2 linked regions of the Pelodiscus sinensis genome follow. The protein of the gene in region 1 interacts with the protein of each later gene in a biochemical or structural test. Links are inferred from orthologs where the notes say so. Each region holds a gene or a part of one and is shown on either strand. Other genes may lie near its edges. The genes, in order: COIL and VRK1.

Region 1 (15,825 bases):
GAAAAAAAAACCCTCACTGTGGCTCCTGAATGAGAAGGAAAGAAACACTCCTCACATTGCACTCACACGCCAGAGGCTATGTGGGTCCAGCCTAGTAGATTTTGTTTGCTCCTGGCCAGGAGACCAGCCCAGGCTCCCTAATGCTGGGGAGGGCCCAGAGCCTTGGGGGCTGGATCCAGGCAAGCTGAAGGCCACATCTGGCCCTCAGGCCTGAGGTTCCCCACCCATTTTAGAGGGATTGCTATATTGCCATCCTTACTTCTGCACTGACTTCAGAGTTGAGCGGCCAGAGAGTGGCGGCTGCTGAATGACAGTCAAGCTGTTCAAGGCAGCAACCATACCATGCCATCCTTCTGCATCACTGCTGGTGAAGGTTCTACCTTCAGAGCTGAGCTTCCAGCCAACAGCCACCGCATTGTAGCTGCCCAGCTCTGAAGGTGATGCCACTGTCAGCAGCAGTGCAGAAGTAAGAGTAACCCAGCAACCCATTCATAACTCCATTTTGAGTCAGGACTCATACAATAACAGCACCTTTAAATTTCAGACTTAAATAGCTGATATCATAAAACGTATTATTTTAAAAATCCTATAACCATGAGACTGACCAAAATGTAGCATGAATTTGGTAGGGATCTAATTCAAACCAAGAGGTAGAACACAAGCTGTGTATAATGTACAAAAAATAGTATTTATAAACACTTGGTCACAATATGAGTCAACTGGCCGTAACTAAATGAACAACAGAGTTGTATTCTTTATATTGCTCTTGTTCTTTTCATTTTTATTTGTTCTTGGTATTTATGATCAAACTGTGTAGCTTATTTCAAGGTAACTTTGAAATAAAGCGCTATTCTGAAACTTCCTTTAACTCTCGTGCAATGAGGTTTACAGGAATATTGGAATAGTGAACCTATTATATTTTGATATAACAGACTTTCTATTACGACATAGAATAGCTATTTCGGGATACCAAAGGTATCCCGAAATAGCTCTGCAGTGTAGAAGTAGCCTAGATGAGAGAGGCAGCGCAGAGCACTTAATCTGGATTCACAAAATGTGGGTTCTATTCCCATTTCTGACACCAGGCTCATGAATGATCTTGGCCAAATCTCTTTTCCTTGCTTCAATTTTCATATCTGTAAAATGAGCATAAAGATACCAACCTTCTTTGTTAAGTGCTTTGAGATCTAGTGTTGCGAAACACTATAAAAGAGCTAGTGATATTTCTGCATTTCTGTATATTTAATTACTGAAATTTTAGTAAGAAAACTATAAATTAATAAAAACTTTATAAAAATATGTTATGTGGACATAAATAGTCACTCACCTGGATAACAACAGAAGTGTTTGTTGCTTCTTCATTTAACTGCTGATGTTTCTGGTTTTCATCGCCATAGTTAAAGAAGAAGCTATTGCTTTCTCCACGGCCACGGCCACGGCCCCGACCCCGGATCACCGCACGACACCCCCGGCCCCTATGTCCTCTCCAGAAGTTATCCTCTCCTCTACCAAGTCCCCTTCCAAAACTGCTGGAGTTTACAGCTGGTCCTTGATTGCTAGCTGGCAACTGTTTACCACCACTTCTTACTAAGGATTTATTGAAGCCAACATTTGCTATGGGCTTTTTAATAACAAATGTCTCTGAATCTGAACTATCAGACTCCGAAGAAGAGGTCTTTGCTTTGGGGGACTTTGCCATAATGTTCACAACTGGGGGATTTTTAGGCAGCAGTTTTCCCTTTGAGTCATTGCTTTGCTGCTGCTGCTCTTCTTCCATCTCTATACTAGAGTTAGAATCTGAACTAGAGGACTGGGGTTTAGTTTTTTTACTAATTGCAGTCTTGGGGAAATTTTCATCTGTAGACTTGGCAGTAACTTTACTAGCAACAACAGTTTTTATAACAGAATTTGCAAGTTGGGATTTGTCTCTGTGTAGCATTGCTGCCATAGGTTTATGTGAGGATTTATTTTGTTTCATATCCATTTCACTGTCAGATGATGTGCTGGAGGAATCACGATCTGAAATTCCTTCCCTCTTTTTGCTAGACTGTGCTGCAATGTTTTTTACTGAGCTACTTTTACTAGGATTCAGAGGGAAATTGTGGTTGGCTTTTTCTAAAACAGTCTTTTCTCTAATTGGCCTTGTTTTTCTCTGCTTAGCATCCTTTCTTTCTGTTTCCAGATCTTTCTTTCCCTCGGACTTTTTTTTAAGTTTTTTGGACTCATCAAGACTGCTGTCATCATTTCCTCCTGCGATATCATTTCTTTCATTCACATCTTTTCTTTTTCTTTTCTTGGACTTTTTCCGAGTGTCTTGAACATTTACAGAGTCCTCTTCCTTACAAGAAAGATGTTCAGGGCTCTGTTTCTTCTTCTTTTTCCTTCTGTGTCTGTCATCTTCACTTTTAGCATTCCCCTCCACTTCCAACTTTTGGCTATATTTTTTTCTCTCTTTTCTTGATGAGTAAATTATACCATTACCAATCTCATCACAACTATCTGAAACTATCTTTTCCAATTTAACTCTGTCAAAAAGACAATAAACCAATGTTCAGTACAACTAGTACATTAATATTCCTTTCTACATACTGAGTTTAAAATAGTTATTAGACTACGGTCTAGGACCGTGGTCACCAACCAGTAGATCGTGATCTACCGGTAGATCTCAGGGGCTCTAAGAGTATCTCTTGAGCCCTCTCTGAACTGTGTGCCTGCGCAGAACATTTACATTAGATTTCCTCATTTGAGGAGCTGCTACTCACCGAGCAACAACACAGGCGAGTAGCTGCGAGAATGCTGGGAGCTGAGACGTCGGGAGGGCTGAATCACCCCAGCAAGCTGACTTTGGCTTTCAGCTGAAAGAGGCTACCCCACGCTCCAGCTGATTGGCGGCTTCTCCTCTGCGCCTGCCCACATGGAGCTTGGTGCACCCAGGCTGAGCGCCATGGCCAGCTGCCCAGGCAGCCACTTCTCTTCCCTCCAGCCTGGCTGCCCTGCGCTTAGCCCAGGGAGGCTGCGTCTAGCTCCAGCTGTGCTGGAGCAAGCTTCCCAAGCTGAGCGCAGGATCACAGATGCCCATCTGATGGACTGTATACGACTAGCAAACTCAGACTACAACCCAGACTTCAAGACACTGACAGATACTGTTCAGTCACAGGTGTCACACTGAGACTTTGTTATTGGAAGAAAAAATATATACTTATCAATACTTGATTTTAGATTTACAAAATAGCAGAGAACAAAATGTATAATTGTAAATGCTTCATTTGACATTTAAATAGCATGAATTAAAAAGACCATTTATTTCATAACTATAAACGTGATTTTAATTTTATATATTGCATAATTTAAAAATAAACTGTTTAACAGAGTGTATAAGGGCTGGAGATAGCAAGTGATGGACAGGAGAAGAGAGGGCGGGACTGAGTTAAAAAGTGATCTTGGGTGTAAAAAGGTTGGAGACCACTGGTCTAGGATGTCATAGCTATTCACGTAGGAGCTAAAAAATATTAACTCAGCAGACGAAGAGATGGAAACAAACTAATCTCAAAAACAAAGTACGCCAAAGATTAAACTGTCAAACAGCCTAAAATCCCCAGTAAGGATGTTAAGAAGTGGGTAACTGACTAATTGTGCAGTTGATAAAATTTGTATTTACTACACAATTAGCTGATAAATTTCCCTGAAGTGGCTCTGCAGTTTAAATGTAGCAAAAGCCAGGTGTGGAGGCAGCCCGGCTCCTACTACATTTAAACTGCAGAGCCGCAGCAGCGGTAGGTCCCAGCCCTGGCTCATGCGGGTCTGCTAAGTCCCAGATTGTGTTGTTTCCTGGACCTATTCTCACTGCAGCTTTGCAGTTTAAATGTAGTAAGAGCCAGGTGGGCAGATAGTGGAAGCCGGCTTCCACTATCTGCCCACCTGGCTCTTACTACATTTAAAATGCGGAGCTGCAGTGGGGGGTAGGTCCAGGACCTGGTGCAAGCTGGATCTCAGACCACTGAGCCTTTGCCTCCTCTGTCCACCGCAGAGTCAGTGCTGTGGGAACCTCCCCCAATACAGAGGCAGCACGGAGGGGGGAGGGAAAGCGAGTAGTTACTCGACTAGTCACTTACACCCTTAATCCCCAAATGCTCATGTGTGGGAAAAGGGGTAGTGCACACTGCAACACATCCCTGGTGCCCAAGCGATCCACATGCCAGCATAAATTAGGGATGTAAAAGGTTAACCAATAAGCATCCCCCTTAACAAGGGATTCTTACCGGTTCCGATTAAGGGGTGGGAGATGGAGTAGATTCTTGCCCATAGCGTGAAGGGGGCTGTTCCAGCCCCACCAGGCCTGCCGTGCACAAGGGCATTCTAGCCTGGATGGAACAGCTTCTCTGCAGCAGACACTCTTCATTCAGGGGCTGCTCTGGCTCTCCAGAGCAGCCTCTGTCCACAGCATGCCTGGGTGCATTTCAGGCAGGGGCTGCTCCTGTGGGGTTGGGAGAGAGGGTGCACCAACTCCACTGCCTAGCTCCCTTTAATCAGTTAATTAGTTATCACCACCTTTAACCACTTAACCAACTACATAGGATTTTAAATCCCTAGTGCAGATGCCATGTATTAAGGGCACTCAGTGGGCAATCTGCAGGGAATATGGGTTATACTGTCCTCCAGCAGCATAGAAGCCTTGCCATGCACCCCAGATTTCCTCTCACCACACCTGCCAAACTTCTGATATTTGGGCTGAGGCACAGAGTTTGTATACCACTCTAAACCTGCCTCCAAAATCTCAAGATTTTAAGAGGACTTCCAGACAACAATAAATGTGCTTTTCAAAAGAGTGTTAAAACTTCGGCTACAATATGACCAGATGATATGATTTGAAAGGTATTAAAAGGTGTCTGCACAAGGAGAATAGAGTAGGGATGTTTCAAATTGTTTAATTTAGTAATTGTGTAATCACAACAATTGTTAGCAGATTATTCAATGGCCCCTGGAGATGGGGCCAGCAGTCAGTGCGCTCCCAGCCCCACTCTGCTACCTCTGTATCAGAAGCAGCAGCGCAGGGTGGCAGGCAGAAACCCGTCCGTGAGAGGAGCCAGTTTAAAAATTGGTTCCCCAGGCAGACCGGCTCCTGCCTGCCATCTTGCACTGCTGCCTGTGACACATAAGAACGGCCATACCGGATCAGACCAATGGTCCATCTAAGCCCAGTATTCTGTCTTTCAGTAGTGGCCAATGTCATATGCCCCAGAGGTAGTGAACAGAAACAGGTAATCAAGTGATCCCTCTCCTTTCATCCATTTCCAGCCTTTGACAAACAGAAGCTAGCAATACCATTCCTACCCATTCTGACTAATAAGTATGGATGGACCTAACCTCCATAAATTTATCTAGTTCTTTGAATCACACAGAGTAGCCTTTGTTCGTGGGGAGCTCAGGTTTTTAGACTGGCTCCCCACCTGCCACCCTGCACTGTTGCCTCTGTATCATGGGTGGCAGACAGCTCCCCTGAATGCTCTTCATTTTAAACTCTGAGTTTTAAATGCAGAGCATGTGGGGTAGTGGCGTTATGGTAGCTGCGGTTAATCAGGGCCATTAACAGATTTAGTCATGACCGGTGTGGAAAAAGCGAATAAGGAAATTATTTGCTTATTCCCACAATATAAGAACTAAGGATCACCAAATGAAATTAAACGGCAGCAGGTTTAAAACCAACAGAAGGATGTTCTTCTTTGCTCAGTGCACAGTCCACCTGTGGAACTCCTTGCCAGAGGATGTGGTGAAGGCGAGGACTTTAACAGGGTTCTAAAGAGCGGCAGATAGATTCACGGAGGTTAGGTCCACCAATGGCTATTAGCCGGGATGGGTAGGAACAGTGTCCCTAGCCTCTGTTTGTCTGGAGGTGGGGGAGGGATCGAGTGAGGATTATCTATTGTGTTCCCTCTCTCTGGGGCATCTGGCATTGGCCACGGTCGGCAGACAGGACACTGGGCTGGATGAACCGTTCTCTGACCCAGTATGGCCGTTCTTATGTTCTTACCTGAGGGACCCTCCCTCCTCCCCCCACACTTCTGGGAGGCTGGCACCTCCCCCCCCCCCGCTGCCTCCCCCTCCCTCTGACCCTCTCCCCCCCGCTGCCTCGCGCCTTCCCCTCCGACTCCCCCCCCCGCTGCCTCGCGCCTTCCCCCCCTCTGACCCTCTCCCCCCCACTGCCTCGCGCCTTCCCCTCCGACTCCCCCCCCCGCTGCCTCGCGCCTTCCCCCCCTCTGACCCTCTCCCCCCCCCTGCCTCGAGCCTTCCCCTCCCTCTGACCCCCCGCCGCCGCCTCGCGCCTTCCAGCTGCCTGACCCCGCCCCCAGTCTCTGAGCGAGCCTCGTGCCTGGCCGCTACCTGAGGGAGTCGTTGTCCCGCACCAGGCGCGCGCTCTCGGTGGGCGGCAGCAGCGCCCCCTCCAGGAAGAGGCTGAGCTGAGCCCGGCGGCTGAAGCCGAACTTGTCCCGGATGAGGCTGATGAGGTCGGTGACCAGGCGCACTTGGCTGGGCTCCAGCAGCAGCCAGCACAGCGAGCAGCCCGGGCTCCCCGGCGGCGGGTAGTCAAAGAGCAGCCGGAGCCGCACGGGGCCCCCTCCCCCGGCCGCCGCCGCCATCTTGAACAAGGAGGCCAGAGCGGGGGAAGGGGGCTACGGTGCCCGACGCGGGACAAGAGGCATCGGCAGCTTCGCGATGCGCGCGCCACCTGCCGGCAGCCGTGGCGAACTGCAGCCGGAGAACAGGGCAGGCGGGAGCAGCTGCTTTGCATTGCTATTCATCCCGCTACCTCCCCCTGCCCCCGTGTGTTCATTACTGAGCGCTTCGTGGACTTTGGTTTTGGCCTGGTATTGATTTTTGCCGGGCGGTGGAGCTCAGAGCAGGATCAGGGAGCCTGTTTCCGACAGTGTTCCATAGAGCCTCCTTTTCATAGGGAGATCCCCGAGAATTAGTCACCTGAAGAAGAGCTTTGTGTGTCTCAAAAGCTTGTCTCTCATCAACGGAAGATGAGCTAATAAAATATACTACCTCTGTCACCTTGGTGTGTGTTTTAGACCCGGATCCTGCAACTGGGCATGCATAGTATTAAAATATGCCGAGGGTAGAGCCAGATGCAAGAGTAAAGCCTTAATTATCATTTAAATGTTTTCCTCCTTCTGTCCTCCAGCACACCCCATGAAAAACTAATCATGTAAAACAATTCTGCTTTTATGCTCTTAGAAGAACTTGTATAAACATTTTAAATCTAGGATATTGCAGTCAGATTTACAGGGTTGGGCCTTTCTCCTGTGTGGAGTCTCATTAACTTCACTACTCACATGAGAAAAATAAGCTTCAGGGGGTAGCCGAGTTAGTCTGTACAGGATAAACTTAAAAAACAACAAATGGTCTGGTAGCACTTTATAAACTAACTAAAACATGTAGATGGTATCATGAGCTTTAATGGGCACAGCCCACTTTGGGTTAGAGCTGCAAGATACACACAAGGAGTTCTTGAAAGTGTTAATCCTGACTAGGATAAAATTAGAATCTAAAATATGAGGGCATTTTTGGGGGGGGGGGGGAACGGGAGGGAAAATATTTGCTTACAGTTGTATCTGTAGGGAATCTGAATTTGGAAACCGTAAAGCACTAGAGAAGTGGAAACAGATTAATCTAAATCCCTTTAGCACAGGTTTCACTCACTGATTTTATACACACTTCCTTTCCTCATTTCACAAGCTGCAGTTAGAGCCCAGCATCAAAGAAAGTTTTCCTATTACCAAGGTCGGTACATTCTGTGGCATAAATGGGGAAATCAGACAGTCTGGTAAAGCACAGATAGAACCACGTTAACAGTGTAACCAGTGCAGATCTCTCTTGCATTTATCATGTAGGAGAGGCAAGAGGGCGCCCTTGGCTAGTAACCGGCTCCCTTTGTAACCTGAGAGCCACCACTTCCCTTTTTACTACATAGCTGACTGGAGACTCGAGTCATATGATTTTCAGTCAGGAAACTCCCCACCCCAGTTGCTGCAGAGATGGAGCTGCTGCTTAGGCAACATGTTATTCCGATGCTTTTCCTGCTGACTTTGGGTTCAGGTACGTTTGGTAAAGGCTAAGTGTATGAGGGAGCATGTTTAACTAGCTCCATGAGGCGTTACTGGGACTAGGGTGATAGACATTGCTCAAAGCACCTTCCTAGTAAACTTGCTCTAAACTGATTTTGTGGCTTGCTGAACTTTAAGGCATTTATTGTTAGGTGAACGCTGAGGAATGAATGATGACTCTCTTCACCGTGTGTACCAACCCCTTCCCCCATTTATTAATTTATTTATTTTTGTCCTATGTCCTGGCAGAAGCATTTAAATGCAGACGTGCTGAGCGTTTTGTGCAGTGATTTTTAAGGGGCTCATGCTCTTTTAAGCTTTGCCTATCCCGTGACATTAATTGTGTAATCACTTTCTTGGGACACTCTGGCTGTTCCCTTAGTCTTTCGCAATGGAAAATGTCTGAACTGTGTTCAGAATCAGGCCCTAACAATAGAGATAAATTTCACCCATGTGAATTACCCTACTGAAGTCAAGAGCAAGTATTTGCCTGTGAATCAGGGATCTATCTGATTCAATGTCCTAAAAACGTACATATCTGCTGTGGGAGTATTCTGCAGCCCACTAATCTCAAGGAGTAAGTCCTTTTTACTTCCACAAAAGTAGTTTTGCATTATTGAAGTGATAACCAGACAGTCTTTTATTTATGTTGTATTTATAAGAACTGAATTGTGAAGCCTGTATCCTTCAATAAGGACCATATGAATGGCTCTTTTCCCGCACATAGAACCCACTGACTTAAATAGAACTCTGCATGGGTCAGTCTGTACAGCCTCCGAATTGCAAGTTAGGGCAGCAATGGGCAACCTAGGCTAATGAGTGGGTTGCATAAATGACCCTAGTTCATCTCAGTGGGCCATAACCAAGCCCGTCTCCCAGGATAAGGTAGTTTTGCTAACTGCTCTTGTGTACCTGGAATTTGCAGGGTGTGCAGATTGAATCCTAGCAGCACTTTGACTGGATGCAGAGGGAGTACATGGGGCTCACAGTCAATGTTGTGTGCAATCAGCATGTACTTCATCTGCTCTTGCTTTCAAGCATGTGTCACTTTAATAATACTAGTAGGAAAAAAACGACATGGACAGAAATTAGCAGAATTTGGAAACTCTGTGGATGGGCAATGGTCGTCTTGCGGGCTACACATAGAACCCCAATGGGCTGCATGCAGTCCTCGGGCGCAGGCTGCCCACCACTGAGGTAAAAGCTTGAGTTTCAAATTGTGTGTAATTTGTTGTTGTTGTTGGGAATTGGTGCTTTAATTTGATAGTTATGTGCTTCTCTTTAATGTAGAAGTATGTGCTATGCACCCTTAAGATATAGTGTCAGTTGTTATTATGTGGCTGATTTCCACCTCAGCCCTACCTCAAAAGCATGAAGCTAGTGTAGGGTGGGTTAAAGATGCCACCTTCTTACACAGAAGAGGATTTCTATGGACTATCTGCTGCTTGTCTCACCCTCCCTGGTTTCCCAACAGAGACAAGTGAAGATAAAGTCTCAGTTGTGTAACTTTTCTCAGACAAAATATCATTCTTCATCATCAGTTTAATGTAACTGAGAAGTTTTGGAGCTTACTGTTATCTTATTGATAAGATATAAGTGGGGAGACTGTTTTATGTTGATAAATGACTATGCATGTGATCTGTCAGTCTAAATTTGAGAGGTCATACAACTGAGGATCTTGCTGGACCTCTGTATTTCTTGAAATAATTTCATAAAGTGAAACTCCAAAAGAAAATGTTTAAGCTAAAAAAATTCCTTATTCAAATTGCACCTCTGATTTACTGTGAGCTACTGTACAATGCAACCTTGTGGGGGTAATAAAAAGGACAAGGACTTGTAAAAATCAAGCAGATACTCTGCACTTCAGGGCTACGTCTACACTGGCCCCTTTTCCGGAAGGGGCATGTAAATTTCACGAGTCGTCGTAGGGAAATCCGCGGGGGATTTAAATATCCCCCGCGGCATTTAAATAAAAATGTCCGCCGCTTTTTTCCGGCTTTTAAAAAAGCCGGAAAAGAGCGTCTAGACTTCAAAGTAGGAATAAGACCCTCCGGAAAAGGGCACTTTTTCCGGAGGATCGGGGCCAGTCTAGACGCTCTTTTCCGGCTTTTTTAAAAGCCGGAAAAAAGCGGCGGACATTTTTATTTAAATGCCGCGGGGGATATTTAAATCCCCCGCGGATTTCCCTACGACGACTCGTGAAATTTACATGCCCCTTCCGGAAGAGGGGCCAGTGTAGACGTAGCCCCAGCTGTTAAACTGCTTTCAAGCCCAGCTTCAGGATTTTTCCTGAAGTTAGAAAAATAACTTCAAGACACACCTTTGTTGATCATTGTAAGCAATTGACCAGTTAATTCCTAACAATTGATTTAAAGTTAGAATCACGCTTATACTGGGAAAGGTAAATCTTAGTTTACTTGATGCTGATTTTCCCTCCTAGCACAAGACTTTTGTGGCTTGGCCTTTGGCTTCCATCCTCAGCTTGTATGTTCCAAGCCCTTTGATACTGGGTAATGCAATATTCCCTTGAGTGAAGCTGCCTGAAAATAAAGGCCTCTTGCCTGCACCCACTTCATAAGTGCATGGTCTACTTTTTTGATCCAATGGTAGGATCAGAGCCATAGAGTTTGGTGTAAAGCTCAAAATACCTATCTTGGGTGTGATTGCTTGATAGGACAGCAGAAAGTTTTTGAGTATAAGGCAAATGCATTGTTGCACTTCAAAGCAGGCAGCATTTTTAGGTGATGTTAATAGTCCCAAAAAGCTTATCAATGAATGACACAGGCTAATGCAGAGGATTGAGAATGCAATCCTTTTTGAAACCATGGCACAACATGAACAGATGAGCTGAAGTCCATTTTGGCAATACGAATGAATGTGAATTATTGAGGCTACAAAGGTTCACATCAGAGCCGAAGAGAATAAGGCTGAACTAATTATTTTAGAACAGTCACACTGATAACCCTTCCTCTACTTGTGGTGTTTTCAAAACATTCTGATAACACTGCTAGCAGAATGTTGGCTCATTCGAGGCCACTAATATTGCTCCTGAAATCTTCAGCTAAGTTGCTATTGGTCAAGTGTTTTAAGGCCAAGTATTTCACATTCTAGTTTAGGCTTGGCAGATAACTGACCATCCATTATCTGATCATGATCAATTATTCTAGCCAGAATGCTTTTGTATAGGCAGTGACTTACATTTTTGTTTGTATTATGGTGCCATCCTTTCATTTTTAAGAAGTTCATTTCACTGGGTTTCACATTTTTCTCAGTTAATAACTGTTCGAAACTTACTTTTTGAGATTAGGTATAAGTATTTAAGGCCTAGCCTACCACAATCAATAAAATCTTTCTCTTTGTTACTGTTATAATAAATTAATTCTTTAAAATATTTGGCCTGTTGTTGGTTTTGAATTGGTCAAATGCCCAACCCTAGCATGTTGAATCAGATAACCTTTTTCTTTAGGTGCAGTTCTAAAACAATCACAAGAACAAAGAGAATCATGGGGGTATGTAACAGTCAGAAGCAATGCAAGCATGTTTTGGTGGCTCTACTATGCAAACAACCCTACCAAAAATTTCACGGAATTACCTCTCATTATGTGGCTTCAGGTAAGATATTGTGAAAGACATTTTAAAAGGAATCTTGATTTCAACATACTGCTCTGCCATGATATTCTAGTTATACAGGAATAAGATTTTGAGCCATGACTTAGGTCTCAGAGAATATCTGAACTAAGTTTTCAGGTCAGAAAAAGAATACTGAAAATATTATAAAGCTGTTATATAAATTAAATTATATAATGGAACTCCTTGCAAATGGGGTATGTATTTAGCTCTGACTACCCTATATAAAAAAGCATATAGCATAAACCAGGGGTTCCCAAACTTTTTGACACAGGGACCAGGAAATCCATTCACGAGCTTTTGGAGGACTGGTAACATTCATTTGCATACTTGCATATTCATTAAGCAAATCACAAATATTCAAATAAGTTGTTTCTGGTCCTCCCAAAGCCCCCAGCGACAGCGTTAGCAAAGCTTTTGATACCGTCACCCACAATATTCTTGCCAGCAAGTTAAGGGAATGTGGATTGGATAAATGGACTGTAAGATGGATAGAACGCTGGCTAGATCAGGGTTTCCCAAACTTTTTACTTTAGTTGGAACCCGGTTTTTTTTAGTACTGTTTTTTGCAGCCCAAAAATATAAACGCATATAAAAAAAAGAATGAAAAATGAATAAATTTTCAGTATTATACCCAGCTGCATCCTCCATCCAGCCTGGGCCAGGGCTTGGGGGACCCGGCGTCACATGAGCACTCCAGGAGGCGGGAGCAGGAGCAGATTGGGGGTAGGGTATCTGACTAGGAGGGAGGGTGGAAGGAAGGGTAGGGTTTGCCAGGTATCCAGTTTTGTACCCGACAGGCCGGTATTTGAAGGTTTTGTCCGGGAAAGAAATTGAGAAATTACCAGACATATAAAATGCCTGGTATTTTCTAATTAGGTAAGCTTTATTATAATTAGGTGTATCAGTTCTTAGTTGCGAACTGCCTGGCTGGTAGATGTGCTCACGCTGCCTGAGTGTGCCTACCTGCCAGGCAGTTCGCAACTACTCCTGGGAGGGTATGTGGGGGGGGGAGGGGGAAAAATGGAATCCCCAGCCAGACTCAGGGTATGTCTACACTACCACCCTAGTTCGAACTAGGGTGGTAATGTAGGCAACCGGAGTTGCAAATGAAGCCCGGGATTTGAATTTCCCGGGCTTCATCTGCATAAAGCCGGGCGCCGCCATTTTTAAATGTCCGCTAGTGCGGACTCCGTGCCGCGCGGCTACACGCGGCACGGACTAGGTAGTTCGGACTAGGCTTCCTAATCTGAACTACTGTTACTCCTCATTTCACGAGGAGTAACGGTAGTTCGAACTAGGAAGCCTAGTCCGAACTACCTAGTCCGTGCCGCGTGTAGCCGCGCGGAACGGAGTCCGCACTAGCGGACATTTAAAAATGGCGGCGCCCGGCTTTATGCAAATGAAGCCCGGGAAATTCAAATCCCGAGCTTCATTTGCAACTCCGGTTGCCTACATTACCACCCTAGTTCGAACTAGGGTGGTAGTGTAGACATACCCTCACTCATCTGCCAGGGTCTGCAGGATCCGCATGTGCCCAGGTCAGTCCCACTTCCACCCCCCTCCCCAATCTCCCCAGTCCAGCCCTGCTGCCCCTGTCCAGCCCTGCTTCCGGTGGTCAGTTCCCCCCGTCCCCCACCAATTTCCCCTGGTCAGCCCTGCTCCTCTGATGACCCCTCCCCTCCCGACCAGCCCCACTGCCCCCATCCAGCCCTGCTTCCGGCAGCTGGTTCTTCCGTCCTCCTCCTGATCTCTCCCAGCCAGCCGCTCCCCCAGCTCCTGTCCAGCCCTGGTTCTGCCTCCCCCCCCCCCATCTCCGCAGGACAGCCCCACTACTTCCAACCCTGCTTTTGCCACCCGCCTGCCTGGATCTCCGCGGGACAGCCCCACTGCCCCCAGCCCTGCTTTCACCGCCCGCCCACGTGGATCGCCGCGGGACAGCCCCACTGCCCCAACCCAGCTTCTGGGAGGCCGGTTCCCTGCCACCCCCTCCCAGCCCACCCCGCTCTGCTCCCTTCCCGGCAGCCACTCTGAGGCCCGGTATTTTTTTCCCGCGGCCTGGTACCGGGCCATGGCCCATAGTTTGGGAAACACTGGCATAAACCAAGACCTATTATTATTCTTTGGATTGTGGTAGTACTTGGCAAACATGTAACTGAATCAAAATGCAGGACAATGTAGCACTTTAAAGACTAACAAGATGGTTTATTAGATGATGAGCTTTCGTGGGCCAGACCCTCTGGCCCACGAAAGCTCATCATCTAATAAACCATCTTGTTAGTCTTTAAAGTGCTACATTGTCCTGCATTTTGCTTCAGCTACCCCAGACTAACACGGCTACATTTCTATCACCATGTAACTGAATGACTGATCCAGCCTGAAGGGCAGATCCAGTCTAAGGCCAGAGATAAATTGGTGAAAATGATTAGAGGCCCTGAATGATTTCTGAATGGTGAGAAGGAAAATATTAGGACTGTTTAAAGTGGAGTAGTTCAAGGCCATCGTATCTGTGTAGGAGGTAATACTGAATATAAGCCACCAATTTACTCAGGCTTTCACATCCTGGATTAATTCTGCAATGTGTAGTGCACATGCTGTGCACCTTGGGAAAACTGACTATTATGCATGCACCAGCTCTGTAGCTGACTCTTGCATACTTACTGCCCTGAAGTGTGTGCAGCTCTGGATGGGAAGAAAAGTTCAGAATGGTATCTGCATAGCATAAAGTTAATCAAATGCTTTCACAAATTAGTGATTGAGTATCTTAAATTCCTCTATACACAAACAGGGCATATTATGTATATATGTGTGTGTATATATAATATATAACATTTCAGCATGCAGCACAGAAACTGTTCATTTGTAATTTCAGTGAACTAATTCTATTGGTTTGTCTTGATTCCCCAGATTCTAATTGGCATTTTTGTTTTGTTTCTGCCTATAGGGAGGTCCAGGAGCTTCAGGCTGTGGATTTGGGAACTTTGAAGAAATTGGTCCCTTGGATGCAAAACTGAAACCAAGAAATACAACCTGGGTAGAAATTTAGCTTTTACCTGCTGACTTACAGATGGGATCCTTGCTTTCTCAGTAAGGTGTTTGATCAAGACAAAAATGCCCCAAGTAGTACTGTGTCCATTTTAAATTTAGTACTTAACATCAGAAGTTTTTTGTAGTTCTACTCTTGATCCAACAAACATGTTTAAAGTATCATGGAACCATACGCCTCCACATGTTTGCAAGAACTTGGATATCTTTGAATAATTTATCCCTAAAATGCTATAGTTGGGGAAACAACTCCTAAAAGCAACTCATTTAAGCATAGACTTATGCATTTGTTTTGGTGGAGGAAACATGGTTGGCTAAACTTGTCTTTAATAAACATCTGGGATTGGGGAAAAAAGGAAAGGCGGAATTGCAGTTTGTGGCCTTGTAGATACAGTTATAATATAGACTGTCATCAGGAATAGTGATAGACCCTTACAAAGCACCACTACTGATTTGCATGTCATGATAATCAAATGGTGACTTCATACAGATCTCCTGTCTTCTGTTTATATAGCTGCAGGCAGCCAGTTTACTGTTTGTTGATAATCCTGTGGGCACTGGATTCAGTTACACAGATGATAGTAATGCATTTGCAAAAGATCTGGCAACTGTATCTTCTGATATGCTGGTTTTTCTTAAAGAATTCTTTGGGACAAAGGAAGAATTCAAGGTAAGGACCTCTAATTTTGTTTAATAGCATTAAACAAAACTCTGATTCTAACCAAGGCATCAGAGAGGATTATTGAACAGCTAATAGTCAGAGGAGGATAACAGCCTCTCCAGAAGGTAGTATATGCCACTCGCTACCACACATAATTGCCGTATTGCAGCCGTGGCCAACCTGTGGCTCGCGAGTCACATGAGTCTCTTGCCCACCCCAAAAGTGCGGCTCGCGAAGCTGCTCCTGTGCCCCCCAATGGATCCTGCCCCCTGCTGGCTTCCCCCCCCCCCCCTCAGCTTCCCTGTGCTTACTGGGTCGGAGTTGCGGAGTTTTAAAAATGGTGCCCAAAATGGCGGCTGTCTTAAAGGGGCAGCCTCCTTTAAACAA
Region 2 (16,608 bases), on another chromosome or scaffold:
CAGCTGCGAGCACCAGTTACTGGCAAATAAGTCATGCCCCCTACCTAAAAATTCGGCATCCAGGAAATGGGCCACTTAGAGGAAAAAGAAAATGTCTTAAAAATGCTTTCATGTCCCATTCCCAAAGTAAAAGAAATAATATATTGTTCTACTCTACAGGAGCATCCTAAACATGCACAATTTCATTAGATAATAGAAATACACTTAACTCATAGCACACGTACACACATCAGCAAAGAACAAATTAGAAATCACTACCACAAGATAAGGGTACCTCTAAAATTATTGCTAAGAGCCATTCAATACTATTACTCACACCTGTCACAGCTGAACCTTCTAGTATCCAAAATGCAGGTTTTTAAACTTTTAATTGATATCCAATATTTCAAGCTATTACTGTAACACCAAATTTTATATATATTCCAGATACAGCTTTGTGACACTTTATTTTAATTTATAAAACAGAAGTTTACCCAAATTTGCATTTGGTCCTCTTAAAATGTTTCTCTTAATCCTTGCGTTTTTTTCTTAAAGAGATACAATAGTATAGGATTCAAGTTAAAGATTTTCCCCCCATTTATAACCGAGGAGAAATCTGACTTGTGTGATTTGTACAAATTAAAATGTTACATGATCTAACCTGGCTGGTCTGAAAGAGACTGATCCACAAACACCAGGAACTACTACTACTTCTTCCCCACCATAATATACCTGACTTCAGAAAATGATTTAGTGACCAGTGCTGCCACATTTTCACAAAGAGATAGAATCTGAGCAGCTTATATTCAACATATATATTATTAGCTTTATTAATCAAGAGTTAATCAATCTATTCCACCATGTAATGTCACCATTAGATCTGCTGCTGACAAACTTGCTTACAAGGAGCAAAACAGTGTATTCAACTAACCCCACAAGAGGGCTTAGCAAAGAGTGCTTCCTCCCCCAAGTTTTCATCATCCAAAAGTTAAATACGAAAATTAAAGACAGTCAACATGACATCCCTTTAACCATAAAAGTGAAAGCTCGGAATGGACAGAGATTGACTGTTTCCAGCTGAGAATCATACACTTAAATACACTAGATACGCATAGATGGGCATGAATGTAGACAGTCAACTAAACCATGTGTTAGGATGGCATTGTGCCCACTCACAAGTTGGTCAAGCTATCACTGGGTCAGATGCCATGCAACTGTAGTTTTAAAAGGACAAAACACAAAAGACAAGCACTGTTTTGCAAAAAACCTGGCCTTTGGAAGTACTGAAGCTCTGGCTCCCCATACTTCTGCATTTGAGATCATGTGTTCAGGTATGAACCTTCTCAGAAGTAATCCAGTATACATACAGGAAGATTTTGGGAGTGGAAGCAATTGTAGCCAATTACAACATATTATTAAGACAAAAACATTTGAAGAGACAAGGTAAACATCAAAAAAAGGAAAGAAAATAAAATGCCTTTTATTGCTACTTTTGGTGTTGTACATAATTTGCTAAGATTGAATGGACGTTAAAAGTTGTGGACCACTGTACTTTTAATTTAATTTTAGATACATCACTGGACTATTTCCCTCGGCATATCTGAAAGACATCCCTTGTCTCAAAGCATCTCTCTCTCTGTCAGTCGTATACAATTAACCACGAAATAAAATTTGCATATTTAAAAATAAATATTAATTCCATATTATCTTAAAATGCTTTACAAAATGATGCCCCAAAATCACTCACCTTTAGGGAGGACTACTGCAGTTATTTTACAATATACAAGCAGTCCCCGGGTTACATGGATCCAACTTACATCGGATCCCTACTTACAAACGGGGTGAGGCAACCCCGCACTAGCTGCTTCCCCCCAGCAGACCAGGGAGACGTAGAGCGGCTTTTCTCAGCAGACACCTCAGCTTGAGAATAAAGGACTGAGGGAAGTGAGGTGTGGGAGAATAAAACTGAGCTCTGGAGAAATGTTTGGCTAGAGTTTCCCCTACAATATGTACCAGTTCCAACTTACATACAAATTCAACTTAAGAACAAACCTACAGTCCCTATCTTGTACGTAACCCGGGGACTGCCTGTAGTAGTATCAGTATTTACATAGCAGGAAAATTATAACAAAATGAAAGTGTAGGGGGGGTGTTAAGGTATGAACAAATAAAATGTATTCAAATTAGAGTAAAAAAATCACACATACAGAACAGCATAATACCCAACTAACACCACAGTAGGACATATGTTTAATACAGACTTAGACAACTTGAAATTTCCTACATCATCATAGATTTTTTGGTTCCTGAAGTGTCCCACAATGAGAGACAGTCAAAGATCTCAGGCTCAAACATCTACACATCAACTGTAGCCCCACAGACTGACCACCAGGAGCCCCAAGATAGCCACAGCCAGAGCACAGGTATTTTATTTCAGTGTAAACATAACCTTTGCGAGGAAAAATAATCTATTGCCCCCAATAAACATATTGTTTAACCAGTTAACTGATTAAATGAGGATGGTTGGTGGTGCAGGGGGCTGCTCCAGCCCAGTCAGAGCAGCCCCTGCCTGTGGGGGGAGGGAAGGGCGCTATGAAAAGAGGCTGCTCTGGATGACCGGAGCATCCCCTGCTCATGGCAGGACCCCTGCAGGGCTAGAACTGCCCTGGCAAGGAACTGCTCCAGTCTCCACTGGTTAACTGGCTAAACAGTTACATCCCTAGCCTATAATGATACATAGTGTCATACGATGAAGTTTTCTATACAGTAAGTCACCTGTCTACACCTAAGTCAAAGTGGGCAATAATTTTTGAAGGGGGGCCACTTCAAAATGTTTTTGAAGTGTTTGCGGGCTGCCCTGGAAGGAGTGAAGCCTTTAAATAGCAGGAGTTGAAAGGGCTCCCACCTCCCCTGCACTCCCAGGCATCACGCTAGCAGGGGGTGGGAGCTACGAGCCCTTTCAACTCCTGCTTTTGAAAGGGTTTGCTGCACCTGGCCTCCCTGCTAGTGCATTGCCTAAGAGGTGGCATACTAGAGCTCTTTCAACTGCTTCTATTTAAAAGGGCTCATGCCTTCCCTATGGCTGACATCGCCTAACAGCTGTGAGGACGGCACAAGCTCTTTCAATAGAAGTTGAAAGGGCTTTTGCATCCCTGGATTTCAAGCAACACACTAGCTCTGGGGCCGGGAGCCACGAGCCTTTTTAACCGCTACTATTTAAAGGACTCGCATGAGACTAAAGGAGGGAGGGCCAGGAACTGTTGCAAGGGCTGGATCAAAGAGCTAAGAGGGCCTGGCCTGCTGACAGGCTTTTACCCACCCCTGACCTAAGTGCTTCAAGAAACCAACCACTATGCAGTGCAGTATCACTACTAGATTGGTGAGTACCTGTATACTGTTTTATACTTTCATTTTTATTGTATACTAATCCTTTGAAAATTGGTATTCCATTGGTAATTATAACTGTTAACCAACCAGAATGTTTGGCTAACCAGCACCTCCCATTTCTCCAAAGAGAGATAACAAAGGTTTCTATTTTCTACCTCTCAAGAATATTGTGAAACTTAATTGCATTCACACTCAAAGTGCTTTGAAATCCTTGGATGTACAATGCTATGTAGATGTCATATATTATACTGCCTCTGAAGTACTGAAAATATTTGACCCTGCTAACTGACAGGAATATATTTTTAAAGAATATGGTTGCCCCACTGTAGAGGGCTGTGTGCTCAGAAATTGCATAGAATTATATTATATTTTGCTCCTAACAAATAGAAAAATTACAACAGAAGTAGAGGGATGTTTGAACTCTTCTCCAAAACCACTTTAGAGAATACAAGGTCACTGCTTCTCCACATGCTATGCTTGAGATGTACATACAATTTAGCAATTTTATCTCATCAGTGATCTTTTTATAAATGCAATCTGTACTACTGTTGTGCTCTTAAATAAGCTTGAGTAGGCATTTCCCAGGTTGTGTTTTCTACCATTCTCAGTAGAAGTCAAATGAATATAAATCAAATTCATTTTAAGGAAGTATTTCTGTATGTGGCCATTCAGAATGACTATACTGCTGAATTCTTTTCTGATCTGGTTCTTTCCTAATTGTCTAAAAACTGTCATTTTTAGATTTGATTATTTCAATAGGATCTTTCAGCATAGAGAGGACAGTGCTGCTAACCTATGATCCTTTTAGTCAATAGGCAGTTATAGAAAGACATGAAATCTGCACATTATTTATACCACTTACTCATTGCAGAATTTGGGATGCAATAGTGTAGTCCATTAATGGACGAGCAAAAGCGTATCGGTTAATGCTATAGGCTACATGCATCCCTTCCCCTCTCCCACCCAATAATTTTTTTTAGCAGGCTGTCCAGCAGCCCAGCTCAGTCCTAGCTTGCACTGGGTCCAGGACCTACCCCTGCTGTGGCTCTGTCTTTAAAGTGTATTAGGAGCCAGATAGGCAGGTAGCCCACCTCAGTCTGGGTCTGGGAGCTCAGACCCCACTGGACAGGGGCTTCTGCCATCCTGTGCTGTTGCCTCTGTATCAGAGGCAGCAGAGTGGGATGAGACAGACAGTCCACGAGGGGAGTTGGTTTTTAAACTGGTTCCCCTCATGGACCAGCTCCTCAAGAGTGAGCCCCTGGGGACTATGGAATAACCAAGTAACCCATAAGAATTCATGACGTTAATCGACTATTCAATTAACTGACATTTAACATCCCTATGGAGAACTCCTGAAATCTTCCAGAAAAAAAAATCCTTCCTCTTCTCCACAAAAAGACACTTTTTAAACTTCTGAAATACTTCATTTAAATTGTGTGCAGTTTTAGAATTTGAGGTTTTATTCAAAACAAGGGATGTATTCTTGATGATTTCTTAAAGGCACCATAATAGCCACAAATATTTCATATATTTCCAGAATCAAAACCAGTAATTTTTACTAGGGATGTTAGATATTGTGAAACTGAATAGATGTGTAACAGCATGAAATATTAGTGGCTACAGACTATTCGATTGTCCTCGGAGGCAGGGCTGGCAGCCAGTGTGATCTCGGCCTCACTCCCAGGATGCTCCCTGCCACCCCGCGCTGCTCGCTCGCTCGCTCTCTCTCTCTCTATCAGAGGCAGCAGCACAGGATAACAGGCAGGAGATGGACTGCCAAGGTAGCCAATTTAAAAAACACCTCCCCACGCAGACAGCTGCCTGCCACCCCACGCTGCTACCTCTGATACAGAGGTAGCAGTGCAGCAGCAGTCCCTGTCCGCAGGGCACCCAAGCTCCCCACACACAAGAGTCTAGTCCACAGCAGCAGCCTCTGTCCCTGGGGACCTCAGACCCCCTGCGGACAGAGGATGCTGCTGCTGACCAGCTCCTGTTCATGGAAGCAGCACAGAGAGTGAGAGGGCAGTATGAAGCAGATACACATGGGGAGACTGCTTTCAAGCAGGCTCCTCTTGTGTGCCCGCTCTGGGGACCCACCTGCCCCCCCCACTGCTGCCTCCTACAGAGGTAACAAGGGGGGGACAGGCAAGAGATGGTGTTGGGGGGGAGCCAGCTTAAAAGCCAGTTCCCCGCAGCCCCAGCTTCATGGTGTCGCCTGCCCCTCCACCCTGCTGTCTTTATCAAAGGCAGCGGCGGCAACAGGGGAGGCTGCCGCAAAGCAGCCTCTATCCACAGTGGCCTGGGTTCACTGCAGACAGAGGTTGGTCCACAGCAGAAGCCCCTGTTCATGGGGGGTCCAAGCACCCCATGAAGGGAAGCCACTCTGCCTCTCACAGAACCGCCTGTCTGTGGCTAGTCTGGGCCCACCATGGACAGAGTCTCGTCTGTGGCAGCAGCTCCTGTCCGCAGGAGGTCCAAGCTCCCCACAGACAGAGACTGTTGCTGTGGACCAACCTCTGTCCATAGGGAGTACAAGACGGGGGGACTCGGTAAAGGTGATTTCCCCCAGTACCATCTCTGCAGGAGGCTGGGGAGGCAGAGGCACAGTGGGAAATGGCGTGAGCAGGGACTGCTTCAGTCCCCACTTGTGCCAGTTCCCACTGCGGGTGCTTCTGCTTTTGAAACGTGCAAAAAAGAAGTGCTGCAGGAAGCACAGGGTTAGCAGGGACTCAAGCAGTCCCTGCTCACCCAGTGCTCTCTGTAGTACCCCTCCCTTCTTGCTGTCTCTCTGAGAGGCAGTAATGGGGACAAAAGGAGTTGGCACTAGGGGAATCTGGTTTAAAAGCCGGCTCCCCCCAGAACAATCTCCAGGGTGCCGTATACCCCCCTCCCCACCTCCGGCCTCTGTTGCGGCCAAGCAACCCCTGTTTGCAGCAGCTAGGGGTGGACGTGGGTAGGGGAACATTCAGGAAGCATCTCCTGTCTGCAGCCAATCCTGGCTGCCATGAAAAAGGGCTGGTGCCAGAGCAGTCTCTGTTTATAGTGGCCAGCCCTGGCTGCTGCAAACAGTCCCAGTTCGTGCTAATCGCCCAGCAGCTCTTACTACATTTAAAACGCAGAGCTGCAGCATAGGTGGATCTGGAGCTGGCACAAGCCAGGACTGCTCAATCCCAGTTCAAGTTGGCTTCTCTGGAGCTACCCCCGCTGTAGCTGTGGTGCTTATCAACTAATAGACTATACAATTAACCAGATAATTGCATTTTAACATCCTTAGCTCCCACTACTCCCACCTCGTTGCTGCAGGGGGAGGGTGGGGAAAGGGGGAATGCGTGTAGTCAATAGGATTAACCGATAAGTTGAAATTTATCGGTTAACCATATAGTCGACTACATGTTGACATCCCTATTTTCTACAGCAAATGAAGGTCTAATTTATACAATAATTTTTTTCCTCCCTCAGGCCTTCTGTTACATGTTTAGAATAATGCTGCACATCTCAGATTAACTGGGGTTATTAAAAATCAATTGGCAGCAAAGTAATTGCTTCAGTTACAGCTATTTAAAAGTTCTTGCCTCTCAGTATTTATGTTCAAACTAAGCAGGGTGAACCTATATCGGTAGCTTTTAAAATATTTTATAAGGAAAGCAGAAGGCTGGGGAAACTGGACACAGACCTCTTCTCCCACAGGCAAAGACATTTTATTTTTGAATCCCTCAATACAGCTCAGACCTGCCAAGCCTAGATCTTTTAGAAGCAACCTCCCTGATTCTGGATTTAAACCATCTTCTCCAGACATCATTAATCTTTTGTACTTCAATGACATTTCAGATCTCCCTCAACTTTCTGACATCCATTCATACAATACTCAGACTGATAAATCCTTTCATATATTTTTATCACCTGGAAACATGTCTAGAAGCCATATTAGATATAACCCCAAAACCTCCACATCTCTGGACCAGCACTCAACACCCACACTACAAAGGAGCCCTTAAGAAGTATTTGGGGTAATTCTACAAGGAGTGGGTGGACTGCTGTTTTAATCATCATTTAGGGCCCCAAATGACCTGGAAAGTCAATGTTGATTAAGTGGTGGAATACATGTCTGTCTCAAGCAGCAATGACTTCAGTGAGGGTAACTTATATCAGGAAGAAGACTTAGTCTTCAAACACCACAAAACATTTTGCACCAGAAGAAACTCAAAATTCCCATACCAATGACAGAGAACATGTCTGGAAGGGCTCTCTTTTGAAATCCTTTGGGGACAAAGGGCTTGAGCCTACACCTGTACAACTCTGAGTCCTACAAAGGCTTTAAAAAAAAAAAAGCCAACTCATCTCCACTCTCCCAGCTGCAATAGGATAGACGTCCCCGATCCTAACACATTTGGGCAGGATTTTAAGGATATATTTCTAATAAGGTAAAAATTATGTTTTTCTCCCCTTCAGTGGTGATGGATTTCACGTGTGTGTCCCCCTCCTTGGTCCCCCCAGAGAAGAAACACGCTTCGCCCTTATCTGCACGGGCCCTGTGGCCCTGTGTACACGTGACCCGCCTCCAACCCCACGGCCAGGGCGGGGCCCAAGCTGAGAAGCGGGGAACCGCGGGGTCGGGGGCTCCACGGCGATGCAAGTCCCACCCATGGGGAAGGGGCCGGAATGACGCTCCACACCTTCCAGTCAAGCCTCCGCGGGGGGTGTAAATGGGCGCGGGAGGGGGAGCCAGCCGGGATCGGCCCCCAGGGCGGGCGAGGGAGGCTGTTCCTCGGCGGGATGCGAGTGGGGCCAAACCTTTTCTTCGGGGGGGGAGACAGCTACAGCCTCCCCCTTCCCTTTCCCGGACCGGAGCCCAGCTCCCGAGTGGGGGGGGGGGGAGGCTGAAGGTCCAGCCGGCTGCGCCCGCCTCCCCAGAGCCCCAGCGTCAAGTACCTCCTGGGTCTCAGGAGCCGGGCCCGGGCCGACTGCTCCTTCTGCCCTCTGAAATTCCCGCACTGCCCGAGCCCTCAGGCAGCCCGCCCGCCAGGCTACGCACATCCCACTATCGCCCTAGCCTATTGGCTATGTACCCGACAGAGCCCGCCTACACGGGAACAGAGGCTCCCGCGGACCGCATCGGCCACCGTTGCTCCCTCATTCTTCCCCGCCCCCTATGAGCCCGGTGCACCTTGGGGGTTGTAGTTTTTGCTCACCTGGCAGCGCCAGCCTGCGCTGTCCCTATGCGAAAGCATCACGAGCCGCAGAAGGGAGCCGCGTTCGGGAACGCCAGCTCGGAGCAGCTCGGCTATCTAATGAGTACGCCCAGGAGGCAAATGGAAAATGCAGCCAAGGAGGATGCATCTGCATAATTGCCAGCCGCAGGGACTCACAAATCCTGGGACTGGCTTCAAAGCATGAGATTTAACACTAAATGGGAGGTTCCCCCATGTCAAAGTCGCCACTCTCCTTCCATGCCAATACCAGACTCTAGCACGTGGATGAATTTCTGCATGTAACTGGATATAAGATAATATTAACGGATCTTTTTATTTTCTGTGGTTCTATGGGTACAACTTCACGAATTTCACAAATAAATCATTATGATGAATTATTTCATTTGTTTGATGTGCTGAGGAATTTTTCATTCAACCTTAAAGTTAGCTCGTTAGGCTCTAAATTCTCTGTTCAAAATTCAAATTCTGCATAATATTTTTTCATATATATCAACTTTACAAAATTCATGATACAGTTACAGACAGAATGAGATGAAGTGATAAAATGCAACAATATGGTTTGCTCCTTACAGAGCTTTCACAGGGTCAGAGCAGATTGTTCTCTAACAATAAAAGAATAAAATGTAGTAATATCTGTTGACAAGTAGATCGAGAGATTTCAAGCAGAGTTTGACTCATAAAACCAATATTGGGTGAGGACAATCAAATCACATCCACACTTACGTCTACCAAGTTGTGAATCTGGAAGATACATATAGCAGGACGAACAGAATTGAAGGAACGCCAAGAAGGGAAGAAAAACAGCTTTCAAGGGTGGAGGTTTTGCGCAAAGATCCCTAAACAGAGATGAATTGCTGGATACTCTTTTAATAAGCAGAAAATTAGAATGTGTTGATTGATCAAACTGTAATATGTCCATGATTATGGTACCTAGACATCTATTCTGTTTGAAAACCCTACCCCTCAGGTGCTCCCATATAATGTATTTTTACTGCTTTTCAACAAACTGCTTTGAATTCTATACCTTGCAGCCTGCTTAGCAAACTCAAAGAAAAATCAGAAAAATAAAAGTAAAGAAAGCAAAAGGTACTATGCACTGTAGCACTACCCATAAGATCATTCTTACAATGATTATGGAGGGGCACAGAGGCCAAATCTCATTGGGTGGCATTGTGACCCGAAATCATGTTCCTCCTGAAATTCAAAGGTGTTGGCACCTTCAATTCAAAATGTTGCTCCATCTCTAATTTTTGCATAACTGAATTAGAGAAAGCTCTTTTTGAAACATGTGGCCTTATAGTCTGAGCTGGAAACTCCATTGGACTCCTCTCACATGGGACCATTCCCTTAGGTTTTCTGCTTTGCTTTCCCCTCTTCGTAATGGGAATATTTCTTATGTATCTCTCAGAGATGTTGCAATAATATCTGTAGAGTGCTGTAAAGATACAATTAATATGATGCTGGATCATGCTTAAAATGGCTCAGACCAAATAGGATTATAATCCTGGCCAAAGAAAACAGAGCTCAGAGGTGCAAGCCAGATTTGTGAGAGGACATTGATACAGCTGGTCTGTAGTGATTCTTAACTGCCAAATACAACACATCATTAACAGAAAACCTGCAGGGTATGAATGGCAAGTACATCGTTACTTTGAGTATATCTGCACTGCATAGTATTGTCATGTGGTTTGATTTATTTTAGATCTGAGGGAAACCAGGACACTCCAGAGAGACTTGACCACTTTCTTATTTATTGCAAACTTAAAGCAGTTAATATAGTTGTTTAAATTTTACAAGCCTTAAAAATAATTACTATACAATTTAAACTTTAAATGCTATACATTCTAAACCAATTAGTACAGCATACAACAATGCAAAAGCAATTAATAGAAGATTTATTATATTACAATAATTAAGCTTAGTTCACTTAAACTTTACCTATATGCCGCTACAGTACCAGGCAGGAGCTCGTGGTCACTTTTACTTCCACTTTTCAGGACACCATGCACTACTATAGTCAGTGTAAAGAGTCTATTTACTTCTAGTTACAACAAACAGGACCTGTGGGTCAATCCTGCTCACTACCTACCATCAATTCTTCTTATTATGCTCATTTTATAGCAAAGCAATACTTGATTGTTCTAATAATATTTATCAATTGATTATGCATTGTGTAGGATACCTAAAATGCCCAATACTCTTATTTCGGGTACATCCTGCTACTCAGGATGTTGCAAAAACTATGTGCGTAGTTAACAGTTTTATGGCTGTATCTGGAATTTTTGCTTATAAGAAATAGAAGTACCAGTACAAGGTTGATTGTCCTGTGTTCATGATGCGGTCTTGATGTATGATGCTTAACCTGCATGATTGTGCAAAACATTTCTGCCTCCCAAAGCTCCCTCCCTACCCTCCAAGCCTTGCCTGCGTGCTTACGTGCACCAGACTTGAGACAGGCCTAGGTTTTGCTTGTTAGAGATCCGCACTGTGGTGGTCAAGGCAAACATTATTGTCAAGGCAGGGCCGTCCAGGCTCCTCTACAAGTATTTGCAGGTCTAGTACCCACGCATAATGACCCACACGATTTTCTAGCTCATTTTTGACTTCCCAAACCACAGTTCAGGACATGCTGCTTCCATTCATATCTGTGACAGGTTTTGTTCATACTAAAATAATGTAGTTCCTGCACTTTTCCTCACCTTTCCATTTTATACTGTTTTCTTCAGTGTATGTATAAAATAACTGAATACTTAATTTTTTATTTTATTTTTAAATAAAATACAGGCAGTCCCCGGGTTACGTACAAGATAGGGACTGTAGGTTTGTTCTTAAGTTGAATCTGTATGTAAGTCGGAACAGGCGCGCTTGGGCTGTCCCCCTATGGGCGTGCTCCACGGCTTTGCTCCCCGTCTCCCTGGTCTGCAGGGAGACGGGGAGCAAAGCCTTGGAGCACGCCTGCAGCGGGACAGCCCAGGCGCGCTGCAGCTGTCCCCCTGCGGACGTGCTCCGAGGCTTTGCTCCCCATCTCCCTGCAGACCAGGGAGATGGGGAGCAGCTTTTCTCGCCCCGGAGGACATCTCGCATCTGGGCGTCCCGCCGCTCCCGTCCTCCGGGGCGAGAAAAGCCCCATTCGTAACTGCTTTTCGTAACCCCATCCGACTTATGTCGGATCCGCGTAACTCGGGGACTGCCTGTAGTTGGGCTTGATAGAATTCAGTGGGGATTTACTTTGGTTCTGATCGATAATATCAATGTTTATTTTTAAGCTTTTTTAGATTTATCTATTTAAGTTTGCACATTTGTGCAAAATCATGGGTTTTAAATAAAAAGAACAAATATTAAAATTATCACAGTTGTCAAAAGTGATAGGGCAGTCAGACTATTTAATGACTATAGACATTAAGGTTCAAAAAGCTATAAGCTATATAACTGTTACAACACAAACTGTCATAACACAAAATATACAAATTAAGCATTCTTAAAACAAATTTAAGAATAAATCCTGCTTGAGAATTTACTACTTTGCCTATCTGAAATTTCAATATTAGATTAATCATTTTTTCTTCACTTTGAATGTGTACAGTAAAATAGACATTTACAGATAAAAATCTAATCTTTTTAAGCCTAAATATAGTATAAGAGCAACAGAACACTCCAGAGCCTTGTTGATCCATTAGTATACAAGGCAATCTGCCCAATGACCTCATGATGCTCCAAGATGTACCATGTATTAATAGGTGATTATTATTAATATATTAATATCCTATTGTGTTTTAGTGCTATTAATAACTAGTTAGAAACAAAATTGTTCCTGACACATACTTAAGGATTTCCCCATGTGTCATTTCCAGTGACAGATTTAGAGTTAGTGGGACCCTGTGCTTTATTTAAAAATAATAATAATAGTAACCTTTCCTCAGTCCACCTGAATGGAGTTTTCAGAGCAAAGTTTGAGAACTTCTGGTCTAGATGAAAACTTGTATTTGCATTAAGCCAACATGAAAAATGTGTAAAAATAAAATGTATAGAGGACGCATGAATGGAAAAATAAAAGTTAACTCCCTCTGAAGAAATGTATTCAATTTGAAAAAAAATCAGCTAGCTTTCTTTCTGTACTTTTTCTTTGCAAAATCGTCAAATAAGTCTTCCTAAGTGATATTTTGTAAAGAGGCACTTTCAATTGTCAATATTGCTGAACTTGTCAAATGTTCCTCCTTGTTCTCCTGCACCCCCCACTGCCCTCTCTGCAGAGGGACTGCCACTCACAGAGCAGCCACACCTCTGTGCATGGGTGGCAGGGAAGAGGACAGGGATTTGTCAGATCCAGTGTTGGACTGCCTAGCACTCAGGGCCCCGTGTCATTGAGGGAGCCTGTGCCAGGGCAAAGTATATTTCATTGAAAATCCACCCCAGGTCCTTTCATTAGCAGCAGCTAGCAAATTAAACAAATTATTCTATTATATTTAAACAAAGTTTTTACAAGATGAAGAACACAGTTCTCATTGATTAAGAAGCTAGATGAAGCTGAAAACATTATGCTGAGGGTGAATGTAACTGATATGAAAAGAGAGGTGTAAAACTAAAAAGTTTCATGTTTTATTCCATCTCTAACAAAAAGACATGAGGGTAAAAGCATTAATGCCCTTAATCTAGGATTTAATGAAAGATATTTTCCTGCAAAGGAAAGTGAATGATTAAAATGTATAATTTGCATTTCTCCAACACCACCTACTTCCACTCCTCTAAGCAGTTTATAAATACAGTGAAAGCTTTGTTATCCAGCACTTTGTTAACAACAAATCTTTGTTAACCAGCATTGCCCCAACCACAATACTGCCATCTCTTCAGGTGCACACAACTGACTCCCGCCTGCCCAGCTGGCCATTGCAGGGCTTCTGACAGCTGATGTCATCAGCAAGCACCTCCCTCCGACTCAGTCTGCTTTGAGCTGCCAAGAACCAGATCGGTCAGTAAGGGGTGGGGCAGAACAATAAGCTTTGTACTCAGGGGCAGCCAGAGGCAGGCTGCCAGCAGCTGGTGCCCCAGGCGTAATGCACGATCGGCACCCCCGCGCCCCAGGCGGAATGAATGATTGGCGCCCCCGCCTCCACAGCCCTGAATGGTGTGACGTCATCATTGGTGCCCCGTTTAACGCGGCACCCTAGGCGACGGCCTAGTCGGCCTATACGCACGGGCCGCCCCTGTTTGTACTCTGGCAATTCAATTAATGAGCAACTCCCATTCCCCATGAGTGCCTGATAACAAAGCTTTCACTGTAGTGACTTAAGCTTCAGCAAGATGTTGAAGTAAACAGACATTATCCTCATTTTACACATGAAGAAACTGAGGCAAAGAAAGGATGAGATAGTAGCTGTGTCCCGGTCCATGGAGCTTCCTGCTGCTTGCATTGGCTGCGATCCTCCGATACCTGCTGAGATGCAGGTAAATATAGTGGTGGTGGCTCACCAGGGACTAACCCTGTGGGGTTGTGGTTTTTTTTATTTCCCACCCCGGATGTAACCTGTTCTTAAATATCTCCAATGATGGAGATTCCACAACCTCAAGAATAGTCTTCTGGAAAATTTTATAAATCTTCAGTTTTCTACTAAATTCCTACCAAAACCATAGTCCTTAGTGAACTGTTTAGTTTTTCATTCTTCTGCTTGAAGAAAATACATACAGTTTGGAATCATCAGCAATCTCCAAAAATATTGAGCAGAAAACTGAATGATTTTTGCTCCCAAATTTAAAATGAATAAATTTTTTATTGATTTGGCAGAGGGCATTGTCCATTTTCAGTGATTTGGTTCTTCCGCAGCATTGTTGGTATACTACTTCAAAGATATAATTTTACTTCTTACAAAAACCTTATAAAACAATCAAATTATTAATTTTAATGATAAGAACATTATTTTTAAAATGGTTGGGGAAACAGCAATGCATATGACTTCTGTAGATATAAACAAAATACTAAACAGGGCATTAAAATATTCTGCAAGTACAACATGGATTAGTCAGTATTTAAACAGAGAGTGAAAGTCACCTTACACCTTCTAGAGCTGAAGTGCTATGCAGGACTTGTGTAGCATGCACTGAGGTAAATCTCTTTGAGATGAGAAATTCGGGAAGAGTCCATATGTTAAGATAGGGAACTTTATTGACTTGAATGGAATTACACAGTCGGGTGACTGAAGACTGAGTATGGCTTAAGATACATAAAGTAAATGAATAAAGAAGGTGAAAGAAGGGTTTGGGTCCTGGGAAAACATTACTGCATAACCACTATTGCCTGTGTGGAAAAGCTGCTAAAGAAAGACCATTTAGAAAGTTTCTCTTTTCCTGTTTGTGATGCTAACAGGCAGATGATTTAAAGTTGTGAGAGATTCATTTTAACTAACATGAAGCTTCCAAGACTAGAGTCTCTTTGAAGTGCACAGAATTCATCCAACTTAAAGGGCTTTCATGATTTTTCATTTTTAAAGAGCTTGAATATTTAGTTTGGTGGTGGTCCAAAGTTTATACGGGGCAAGACTTTATATTTTCATTTATCCACCTTAAGATGAAGTGTTTTCGCTCGCCTTAGTTTGGACAAGTTTTAATAGGGAGAGTATCCACTATATATATATATAGAGAGAGAGAGAGAGAGAGAATATCATGTCTGATAGATATATTATAGTACAAACACAAATACATGGGATCTTACTATAACGGTACAAAGAACTTCTGTTTATCATCAAACATTTCATATATCCCATTACATGTGAAAGAATTATTATCTATCCTGTTGCAGTGAAATACTTTTTTCCTATAATGGAATTTTACTCTAGAAATTTATTTTGGTATTAAAAGGTTCCACTTTATAATGTCTATGGTTCAATCAGTGATCTAAAAGGCACTTATATGCTTTGAACAAGATACATAAAACGCTTTTATTGCAACAGCTTTGCTGTATCTACCAATTTTACCATTGATCTCTTTCCATGTAAGGCAGTTCTGGAAGCTGCCCGTGATGTATAAAATCACATGGTGGCTTTTGATCTCCAGCTGGTGATTAAAGCACATTATGGAGGTTTGAAATTTTCTTGTGTCCATTAGCATACCTCTAAACAATTTACTATTAAACAGTAGCAATGATTTTAATACATGTTATTTCAACAAAAAAACAGGAATCTATAAGCTTAGTGTTTACTGTGCTTTGTAGCTTTGAGGACACTGATCCCTGAAGTGAAGCGGGTTTGGTTTTAGTGGCACACTGATCAAACAATGACTTGTTGAGATAACTAGTCTCAAGCAAAATGCAATGAAGAATAGAGATATGCATTTACTTTTAAACCCTTATTTGATGCAAACAAGCAGAGCCCTGGGCTGTGCAGGACCTTACATAAAGAGACTGGTATCCTTACTGCCATACTGCCTGCTGTTTAATGATCTCATCCCCATTTCTGAGGTTATCAGGCTGTCATGGTTTTGCCATGGTGGGTGTTTCAGTACCAACTTTATTTCTTATTCTTTCCCATTTTTAAAAAATGTCTCCAGGAAGAGTTTACCTTCCCTTTCAATTATTGCCTTTAGAAAAATCAGGCTCCCCCTCATTTTTATTGTATTGTGTTTTTTATTCTTTACTGTTTATATGATGGTAGCAATGTAAGTACTAGGTGCCCCCCGGATACCTAGGAAGACGTAGTCCCAGACAAAGAGCTCCAATATTTGTTCTATGATCCTCCCAAATTATAAATAAAAGTAAATTAATCTTTCTGTTTACTCAGTTTTTATAGGCATGACAATAAAAGTAAGCTCTGAAAGAGGTGTGAGTATTGACCTGGAAAGGATGTTCCAGCTGTAGTGAGCAGCATATGGAAAAGCACAGCAACCACTGTGGGAGAGTAGACAAAGGAACATCAAGGCTTGCAATCACTGGCAAATTGAGGGAGCCACACAATAAAAGACATCTTTGTTTTGATCCTACATTATATAATGCCTTTAACACTGGGGCAAGACACAATATAGATATTTGTGCCCAATTAATCTCATG

What was found.
Region 2: of the proteins of COIL (region 1) and VRK1, one has a biochemical effect on the other in vitro, tested with the Homo sapiens proteins (2 studies listed by BioGRID and IntAct, with this or other methods). The link is inferred for Pelodiscus sinensis from reciprocal best matches to the Homo sapiens genes COIL and VRK1.

Annotation. Positions count from the first base shown.
Region 1 is NC_134730.1:18,932,607-18,948,431, forward strand, and holds the start of COIL (coilin), read right to left. Parts: upstream 6,681-15,825; 5' UTR 6,636-6,680; coding exon 6,379-6,635; intron 2,526-6,378; coding exon 1,328-2,525; intron 1-1,327. Other genes in the region: SCPEP1 (retinoid-inducible serine carboxypeptidase), read left to right, coding at 8,037-8,097, 11,572-11,717, 14,677-14,766, 15,292-15,447. UniProt on the Homo sapiens protein: Component of nuclear coiled bodies, also known as Cajal bodies or CBs, which are involved in the modification and assembly of nucleoplasmic snRNPs.
Region 2 is NC_134714.1:26,957,615-26,974,222, forward strand, and holds the start of VRK1 (serine/threonine-protein kinase VRK1), read right to left. Parts: upstream 8,455-16,608; 5' UTR 8,296-8,454; intron 8,201-8,295; exon of another isoform or gene 8,040-8,200; intron 1-8,039. UniProt on the Homo sapiens protein: Serine/threonine kinase involved in the regulation of key cellular processes including the cell cycle, nuclear condensation, transcription regulation, and DNA damage response.